2 linked regions of the Arabidopsis thaliana genome follow. The protein of the gene in region 1 interacts with the protein of each later gene in a biochemical or structural test. Each region holds a gene or a part of one and is shown on either strand. Other genes may lie near its edges. The genes, in order: CLE2 and CLV1.

What was found.
Region 2: the proteins of CLE2 (region 1) and CLV1 interact in a test that uses a peptide from one of them, tested with the Arabidopsis thaliana proteins (one study listed by BioGRID).

Annotation. Positions count from the first base shown.
Region 1 is NC_003075.7:10,209,601-10,213,046, reverse strand, and holds CLE2 (CLAVATA3/ESR-related 2), read right to left. Parts: upstream 1,471-3,446; 5' UTR 956-1,470; coding exon 728-955; 3' UTR 595-727; downstream 1-594. Other genes in the region: AT4G18501 (uncharacterized protein), read right to left, coding at 3,407-3,446.
Region 2 is NC_003070.9:28,462,736-28,468,835, reverse strand, and holds CLV1 (Leucine-rich receptor-like protein kinase family protein), read left to right. Parts: upstream 1-1,864; 5' UTR 1,865-2,183; coding exon 2,184-4,773; intron 4,774-4,852; coding exon 4,853-5,205; 3' UTR 5,206-5,492; downstream 5,493-6,100.

The sequences.
Region 1 (3,446 bases):
AAGTAGGCATACATATAATCAACATAGACATGTTGAATTTTGAAAATTTCAAGTTTACACAGTTTGATTAAATATGTAAACCGTAAACTGCATCGATTCATAGATATCAATATTTTACAATGCTTTACCTAAAAAAAAAAAAAAAAACGAAGTAACATGGTTTCGACGACCAAATAACTGAATAAGTCATACGGGATAACGATCAATTTAAAACACAAGTAATTATGGGACGAAATCTTATATATGTATGCAATTGACCATGTATCTAGATCGACCACATCTAAATTGTACGTTCCATTCTACTGTTTTGTCCGTTAAGAAGACACACGAAATTATACATATTTGTTTGTTTAAAACATACAAGTCACAATCGGCATATAAAACACGATGTATCGTAAAACAGAATCATGTGTACGTACATGCAAGACCATCTAAATCAACGTCGTCATACGTACCGCGTTGCTATAGCCTATATGTATAGTAAAAATTCAAAATAATAATCAAAAGTAAAAGGTGAATAATAATGATACAATCTGAAACGTAAAATCACCAAATTTAGAATATTTAGTTAACGTACGATAACGTATCAATAAAACTGTAACTAATTTTGTAGTATTATGACAAACGTAAATTCGCAAATTTATTACAAAAAAGAAAAACAGCTTCGTTGCAACCAAATTATTGATAAGTAATAAACATGTCGAAGAAATTGAAAAACACAAAATAACTAGTGATGTTGTGGGTCGGGTCCTCCTGGGCTTAACCGCTCTGGAGATTTCCCATGGCTACCCGCAGCTTGATCATCCTCTACAGTCGGACTCGTAGCCTCGATAGAAGGGCTTAGGCCTCTCACCTTCACCCCGACCCGAGCCCCCTCAAGAGGGCGGCTTCCAGCGGCGATTGAGGATAACAGAAGAAACAACAAGAAGCAGAAAGTGAAGCTTAACTTAGCCATTACAGATACAATTAATTAGTTTCTGTATATATAGAAAAGCAATAGAAAGAGAGATAGATTGTTCACGTGGTGTGTATGAGTGTATATGAGGAAAGAAGAGATCTCATGAGGGTTTCTATTTATAGAGTTTTATTTGAATTCTAGTAGTGCGCGAGATAGGTTTAGCTAGCTTAAGGCTTGAGTGCAAGCATGAGTTGTCACCAAGGACGGTTTTTCTCGTTGCCTACATTTTTCTTCATCACCAAAACTTCTATAATAATCATATTTAATCTGTAACCAGCTGAGCAAGTGACTCTTGCGACTTGCAAAATGCAAATTGGTACTTTGAATAGTACAAAGAATGATAAAGATCGCCGCATTACGGTGTACTACACATATTTAATACGATCGACATCTTAATATATAGATATTCTGAATTGTGTTAGGGCCTAGGATTGGCCAAGCCCTTTTTTAGACTCATGTGCATTCCATTTTTAAACATTTGTCGTTGATTTGTTAGGTGGCCTTGTCTCTTGGATGGATCTTATGCTAATCCCCCCCCCCCCCCCCAAAAAAAAACTTAGTGAATATATTGCAGTGATTATTATGCATTTTCCAGTGTAAATCTATAGAGTAAATTGAATATTTTATCTGAGATTATATCATTTTGAACATAGAAAAGTTCCCAATCGAATCTTTTTTGAAAGAAGATCTTTTGTCACCGTGTGTTAGTAATTGTCAAACCCTTATTGAGCCATGCATGCAATCATCCATTTAAAAAACTCGGTGATTTGTTAGGTCACCACGATTACGAAATAAAAAGCAACTAATCTCGAAACAAGTATTTACACGATCAAAAGTAAATAAGATTTATCCCTGAAATATGGATTGTTCTATCCATTTATCCCCGAAACAAGAAGGATAAAGTTCTATCCATTCATATACGATCGTTTTACGTTAGTACATCATCAAAACTAAAAAAGATATGAATCTTATATACGTATTTACATTGGACCGTCAAAAAGAGCGAGATAAGAGACGGCTTCAAGTGCTAATTATAATCACATAATTATATATGTCGTAATGTCGATAAAGCAAAATTATTCAATACCAAACCTTACACCATTTATAACTCGACCGTCCCTATCCAGTGACATTATATATTAGTATATGTATGCGCATAGACTAATATTATAATACGTGTGTCGTGTGAGAGAGTTAATAATACGAGGTAATGATAATGGACGAGGAGGGTGATTCATGAAAGTCCAATAAGATAGAAAAGGAAATATGAAAATATGAAGTCAAAGGCAGAGTGCACTTATGGGTTTTGTATTGGTTTAGTATTGGTGAGTCGAAGGTTTTCACTCTTTTTCTATTTACACATTTGACTCATCAGGAGATTTCATTACAAGAAGAATATTCAAAAAAGTTTCAACCATCGAGAAAAGGTATTATAATCTGTAATACCTTTTGTCAGAACGTGTGGATAGTAGTGTAGTTTAAGATTCCACTAAGTCGAGGTTAAGTGATATATTTAAAAGGATAAGTTTCGACCCAATCACACTTCTTACTCTGTAATTATGTTTTAACTGATGAAGCAGTACTTATCCAAATCCGTATTTCATTGTAAATGGTGTCAGCAAATTTGTTTATCCAAAAAACTATGCATGCAACACATCAGTGAATACATATATATGTTACGTTTATTTTGACGGTGCATTTTAGTGGTGACATATAAAAGGAATATACTTTTTTTTATATAAAAAGTGATATTCAGTGTTTTTTTTATTTCTGTGAACAATTATATGAGATCAGATACCATAAGTTTGGGAAAGAATTAATTGTTCTGGAGATTGAAGAAAATGCTCTTATCCTCTATGTGTCAAATGCCACTCTCTTTATTGCGGTCTTCTCTGTTTTGCATCAGTATGACTTTCGATATAAATCCCATTTCTAGATAAACTTGTTATTTGACTATCACTTGTTAAAAGGATAAACTTGATTTTTTTTTATTTTTTTTTAAGTTATTAGGAGTTGTCGAAAATAATCAAGAGGGTTTTGTGTGTGTTTAGAGTTAATATTATCTGAAAGAAAGATAAAATGGTCCAAATTTTATATTTTCAATTCGGACCATCACTATTATTGGACAGGCCTTGATCCTAAAGACAATTTCTGTAGCTGGATTGTCATTGCAATCACTAACTTTATTTTCATCTCAAATTTATAGTTAAAAACTGTATATAATATTCAGACCCATTCGTTGAAATCAGAGATATAATAATGATACCAACGTTGAACAAATAATCGGCAAGAATCAGAACTATTGAGAAACCAGTATACTCATAGAAATAAATCTTGTGTGGTATATGAATGCTAATGGCAAGGTATTGATATATACCCATAATTAAAATAAAATTAAAAGGGATACAAAATTCGAAAATGGAAACAACATTTTCCAAAATATAAAAATCATCTGAAATTTCTACAAGAGAAGGTTGAAGAAGTAGCA
Region 2 (6,100 bases), on another chromosome or scaffold:
CGAATCACATAAGAGATGCTCTCTTCTTCATCACTAATTGACATCTCATTGTTTTAAAGGTTGCACTTGTACCTGTTGATCTGATTCTCAATCCACTTAAGTTAAACCAAATAGACACGAGAAAAAAGCACATTTATTTGTTGCTAAGTATGCATATTTTTCAGCGTTTACTTCTTAATCTAATGTATATCATAAGATAATATCTAAAAGAGAATGCACAAAAGATTATTAATATGAGAAATTCGCTGCCATTTAGGAAGGACCTTTATACCAATATACCGCAATAATAATAGAACATTGGTCCCCAAGTGTATGTCAACCCCAAGTGTATAGATTTCTTTAAAGATTAAAATCCCTTTTTGTTGCTAAAGCACCTGATATATTTTTCTATCAAACTAAAAAAATTGTTAGCGGGATGAAGATATATTCGCCAAGAACCATAGTGCTTGTATAACGGCAGACCATTAATTCACAACTATTATTATTTTATTGTTAGATTGTTGATAGAATCGATTTTGATTGTGGCAGAATCGATCTTGTAAAAACTGCTTTAAGGTGCTTACTTATAATTAAGAAAGATTCACTTATGTAAGTTAAGCATATTAATCATATCATTCGGCCTAATTCATTAGGAATATTTTGCTATTCGTTTTGCCATCATTAACAACAAAATTGACACGTTTTCAGCCAAAAGTATTAACAACTAAACCTAAAACTTCAAACATTAAATAGTTTTTAGTATCTTTAGTTTCAAACTAGTGATTTGTCCTAATATCAACACTACGAACGAATTTATATACATTGAACTTTTTTCTGAATCACCGATTACAAAACGAATATAATTTGGTATCGGCAGTTGCTATTAATTTGATCGGTTTGGACTTTGGACTAATCACGATCAAATCTTAAATGGACCGAAGTGAATAAATCCCTAATGTTTTCAAGAGAGTCACACGAACGAAACAAAGGTAAAATATGAACATAGAGCGTGGGGACCTTGAAGCAGAAGGTCTGTATGGTGACAGACCGGTGAGTGGAGTGTATGAATGAACGAGAAGTGAGAAGACAAAATACAAGAAAGAGCGTTGACTTGGAAGTTAAAGCCAAAAAAACCACAAGGGGCAAATTTGTCTCTTTAGGAAAAGGACACAGACAGACTTTCTATACGGGCCAATTAGAAAAATAGGCCCTACTTCTAATTAAAGCCCATTTACTTCTCTCCTTGTCTTCTTATTCCTCTTTTCTCCCCATCACGTGACGACGATGCTATAAACGCCGTCGGATTATATAACTGGTGCCGTTGACAAGACGGCGACAGAAGAAAGAAAGAAGAAACCACAGGCTCTAGGGAACGTAACGTTATGTCCTGTCTATAGCATTTATAACGGTCAGATCAACGCCGTTTAGATAAAGATCTGTCAATGTTAAAGAAGAGATGCATCTCTACACCGTTAAATTTAAAACGCCGTGAACCTCTTATCTATTGATTTTTGTTTGATGAAGCCAAAACAAATCGTGTCAGAAGACTTATCAGAGAAGAAGAAAACGACGACGTTCCCGTTTCTCCATGTCTAATAAGTGTAGTAGTGGCGGCTACTAAAAACTCTAAAGTTTGACTCCAGTAAAACTGCCTTTCTAGTGTAATTCCAGTGATTTTAGAGTTTGAATAGTGTGTGACCAAATTTGAAAGTACAATCTCAGCAATATTATTGATCACTCGTTATAAAAGAATCGAATGTAAAAATAGCCAATGAGAGACTGAGACGTATGTGTTTGACCATAAGTCGTATAGTTTGTATCTATCTACCTGCAAGATCAGCAGATGGTTCTCTGATCAATTGTACCTTAATTATCTTTTATTTTCGTAAAATTTCTCTATTCACAAATGATAAATCTACTTAAGACAGTAACCATAACAAGATTTACAAGATAATTTGAAAAATGAACACATAAAAGTATTTTGGCGCATTATTTTTAATAATAACAATATTTATGTAAAGTCACATAAAAGTATATATTCGCTCACAAAGTCTTACGGTATTTAGAACAGTAGTACCACATCGATTCTCTTCATCTTCTTCTTCATAATATGCCATTGTTCATGTCTCTGTGTCCTATCGCATAACACTCACGCTATCTTATTATTTTCTCTCGCTCTTTCTCACTGAGAGGACACTAAAAAAATGGCGATGAGACTTTTGAAGACTCATCTTCTGTTTCTGCATCTGTATCTATTTTTCTCACCATGTTTCGCTTACACTGACATGGAAGTTCTTCTCAATCTCAAATCCTCCATGATTGGTCCTAAAGGACACGGTCTCCACGACTGGATTCACTCATCTTCTCCGGATGCTCACTGTTCTTTCTCCGGCGTCTCATGTGACGACGATGCTCGTGTTATCTCTCTCAACGTCTCCTTCACTCCTTTGTTTGGTACAATCTCACCAGAGATTGGGATGTTGACTCATTTGGTGAATCTAACTTTAGCTGCCAACAACTTCACCGGTGAATTACCATTGGAGATGAAGAGTCTAACTTCTCTCAAGGTTTTGAATATCTCCAACAATGGTAACCTTACTGGAACATTCCCTGGAGAGATTTTAAAAGCTATGGTTGATCTTGAAGTTCTTGACACTTATAACAACAATTTCAACGGTAAGTTACCACCGGAGATGTCAGAGCTTAAGAAGCTTAAATACCTCTCTTTCGGTGGAAATTTCTTCAGCGGAGAGATTCCAGAGAGTTATGGAGATATTCAAAGCTTAGAGTATCTTGGTCTCAACGGAGCTGGACTCTCCGGTAAATCTCCGGCGTTTCTTTCCCGCCTCAAGAACTTAAGAGAAATGTATATTGGCTACTACAACAGCTACACCGGTGGTGTTCCACCGGAGTTCGGTGGTTTAACAAAGCTTGAGATCCTCGACATGGCGAGCTGTACACTCACCGGAGAGATTCCGACGAGTTTAAGTAACCTGAAACATCTACATACTCTGTTTCTTCACATCAACAACTTAACCGGTCATATACCACCGGAGCTTTCCGGTTTAGTCAGCTTGAAATCTCTCGATTTATCAATCAATCAGTTAACCGGAGAAATCCCTCAAAGCTTCATCAATCTCGGAAACATTACTCTAATCAATCTCTTCAGAAACAATCTCTACGGACAAATACCAGAGGCCATCGGAGAATTACCAAAACTCGAAGTCTTCGAAGTATGGGAGAACAATTTCACGTTACAATTACCGGCGAATCTTGGCCGGAACGGGAATCTAATAAAGCTTGATGTCTCTGATAATCATCTCACCGGACTTATCCCCAAGGACTTATGCAGAGGTGAGAAATTAGAGATGTTAATTCTCTCTAACAACTTCTTCTTTGGTCCAATTCCAGAAGAGCTTGGTAAATGCAAATCCTTAACCAAAATCAGAATCGTTAAGAATCTTCTCAACGGCACTGTTCCGGCGGGGCTTTTCAATCTACCGTTAGTTACGATTATCGAACTCACTGATAATTTCTTCTCCGGTGAACTTCCGGTAACGATGTCCGGCGATGTTCTCGATCAGATTTACCTCTCTAACAACTGGTTTTCCGGCGAGATTCCACCTGCGATTGGTAATTTCCCCAATCTACAGACTCTATTCTTAGATCGGAACCGATTTCGCGGCAACATTCCGAGAGAAATCTTCGAATTGAAGCATTTATCGAGGATCAACACAAGTGCGAACAACATCACCGGCGGTATTCCAGATTCAATCTCTCGCTGCTCAACTTTAATCTCCGTCGATCTCAGCCGTAACCGAATCAACGGAGAAATCCCTAAAGGGATCAACAACGTGAAAAACTTAGGAACTCTAAATATCTCCGGTAATCAATTAACCGGTTCAATCCCTACCGGAATCGGAAACATGACGAGTTTAACAACTCTCGATCTCTCTTTCAACGATCTCTCCGGTAGAGTACCACTCGGTGGTCAATTCTTGGTGTTCAACGAAACTTCCTTCGCCGGAAACACTTACCTCTGTCTCCCTCACCGTGTCTCTTGTCCAACACGGCCAGGACAAACCTCCGATCACAATCACACGGCGTTGTTCTCACCGTCAAGGATCGTAATCACGGTTATCGCAGCGATCACCGGTTTGATCCTAATCAGTGTAGCGATTCGTCAGATGAATAAGAAGAAGAACCAGAAATCTCTCGCCTGGAAACTAACCGCCTTCCAGAAACTAGATTTCAAATCTGAAGACGTTCTCGAGTGTCTTAAAGAAGAGAACATAATCGGTAAAGGCGGAGCTGGAATTGTCTACCGTGGATCAATGCCAAACAACGTAGACGTCGCGATTAAACGACTCGTTGGCCGTGGGACCGGGAGGAGCGATCATGGATTCACGGCGGAGATTCAAACTTTGGGGAGAATCCGCCACCGTCACATAGTGAGACTTCTTGGTTACGTAGCGAACAAGGATACGAATCTCCTTCTTTATGAGTACATGCCTAATGGAAGCCTTGGAGAGCTTTTGCATGGATCTAAAGGTGGTCATCTTCAATGGGAGACGAGACATAGAGTAGCCGTGGAAGCTGCAAAGGGCTTGTGTTATCTTCACCATGATTGTTCACCATTGATCTTGCATAGAGATGTTAAGTCCAATAACATTCTTTTGGACTCTGATTTTGAAGCCCATGTTGCTGATTTTGGGCTTGCTAAGTTCTTAGTTGATGGTGCTGCTTCTGAGTGTATGTCTTCAATTGCTGGCTCTTATGGATACATCGCCCCAGGTTAGTTACATGTCAACAACATTAGTACTCACCAAAATGATATATGTTCTGATTATCATTTTGTTTTTGGTTTGCATAGAGTATGCATATACCTTGAAAGTGGACGAGAAGAGTGATGTGTATAGTTTCGGAGTGGTTTTGTTGGAGTTAATAGCTGGGAAGAAACCTGTTGGTGAATTTGGAGAAGGAGTGGATATAGTTAGGTGGGTGAGGAACACGGAAGAGGAGATAACTCAGCCATCGGATGCTGCTATTGTTGTTGCGATTGTTGACCCGAGGTTGACTGGTTACCCGTTGACAAGTGTGATTCATGTGTTCAAGATCGCAATGATGTGTGTGGAGGAAGAAGCCGCGGCAAGGCCTACGATGAGGGAAGTTGTGCACATGCTCACTAACCCTCCTAAATCCGTGGCGAACTTGATCGCGTTCTGACCCAAGCAAGATAAATATGAAAATAAGATGCGAAATGTGGTGATCATTTTTTGGGTGTTCTTATTTATGGTTTCTAATACTTTCGGGTTTGTATATTTGTTGTGTTTCAATTTGTATATTACCTCTTTATGTGTTATTATCTCGAGTATGTAATGTAATCAATATGCTTATTGCTTGATGGCTTTAAACTTTAGCTAATTCTCCGTTCAGAGTGTATAAAATAAAAGAATGTGAGAGCTTTGACCTCTGGATTTAAGTCTAGACTGTTTAGAATATGTGAATTAGGGTCATATCTAAATTCAGGTTTGTGTTAGCTTCCGACAGTGTCATGTTGCAATCTTGACCTTACTTACAAAGTATTTACCAGCAGATGGCTCGGAAAATAAAAAGGAAACACATCTGATAAAAAAAAACACGGAATCAACAGACTAATGGTTGATTAAGAGATTGGACTCGTACTCTGCATTTGGAATAATGACCAGTTTCATTGAGTTCTTGGGGGTCATTCACTTCTCATATTTTTACGAGCTAAGAAAATCACCTCAGGGTCATAACATTGTAGTTTCTGCTCTTGAAGCAAAACACACATAAACTAAGAAACCGGAAAAATTCACAGAAATCAACAACCAAGAAGCTTTAAAAGTTCATGAACAACAGAATTCAACCTCTATAATGTGCATTTTCCCACAAGATGAGGATGATGCTGTGAAGCTAATTCTATCCATAACTCTTACCTCCATTCATAGAGCAATTCAGAGAAGAAGACAAGGCACATAGTCACAACTTATAAACGGGTGTGAGAAGAAGACAAGGCAAATTAGTCACAAATTCATTAAGGTAGAGAAACAAGATCCTTCATTACTCTGTTTTAGTCTCTTCATTAAGAATCATATAC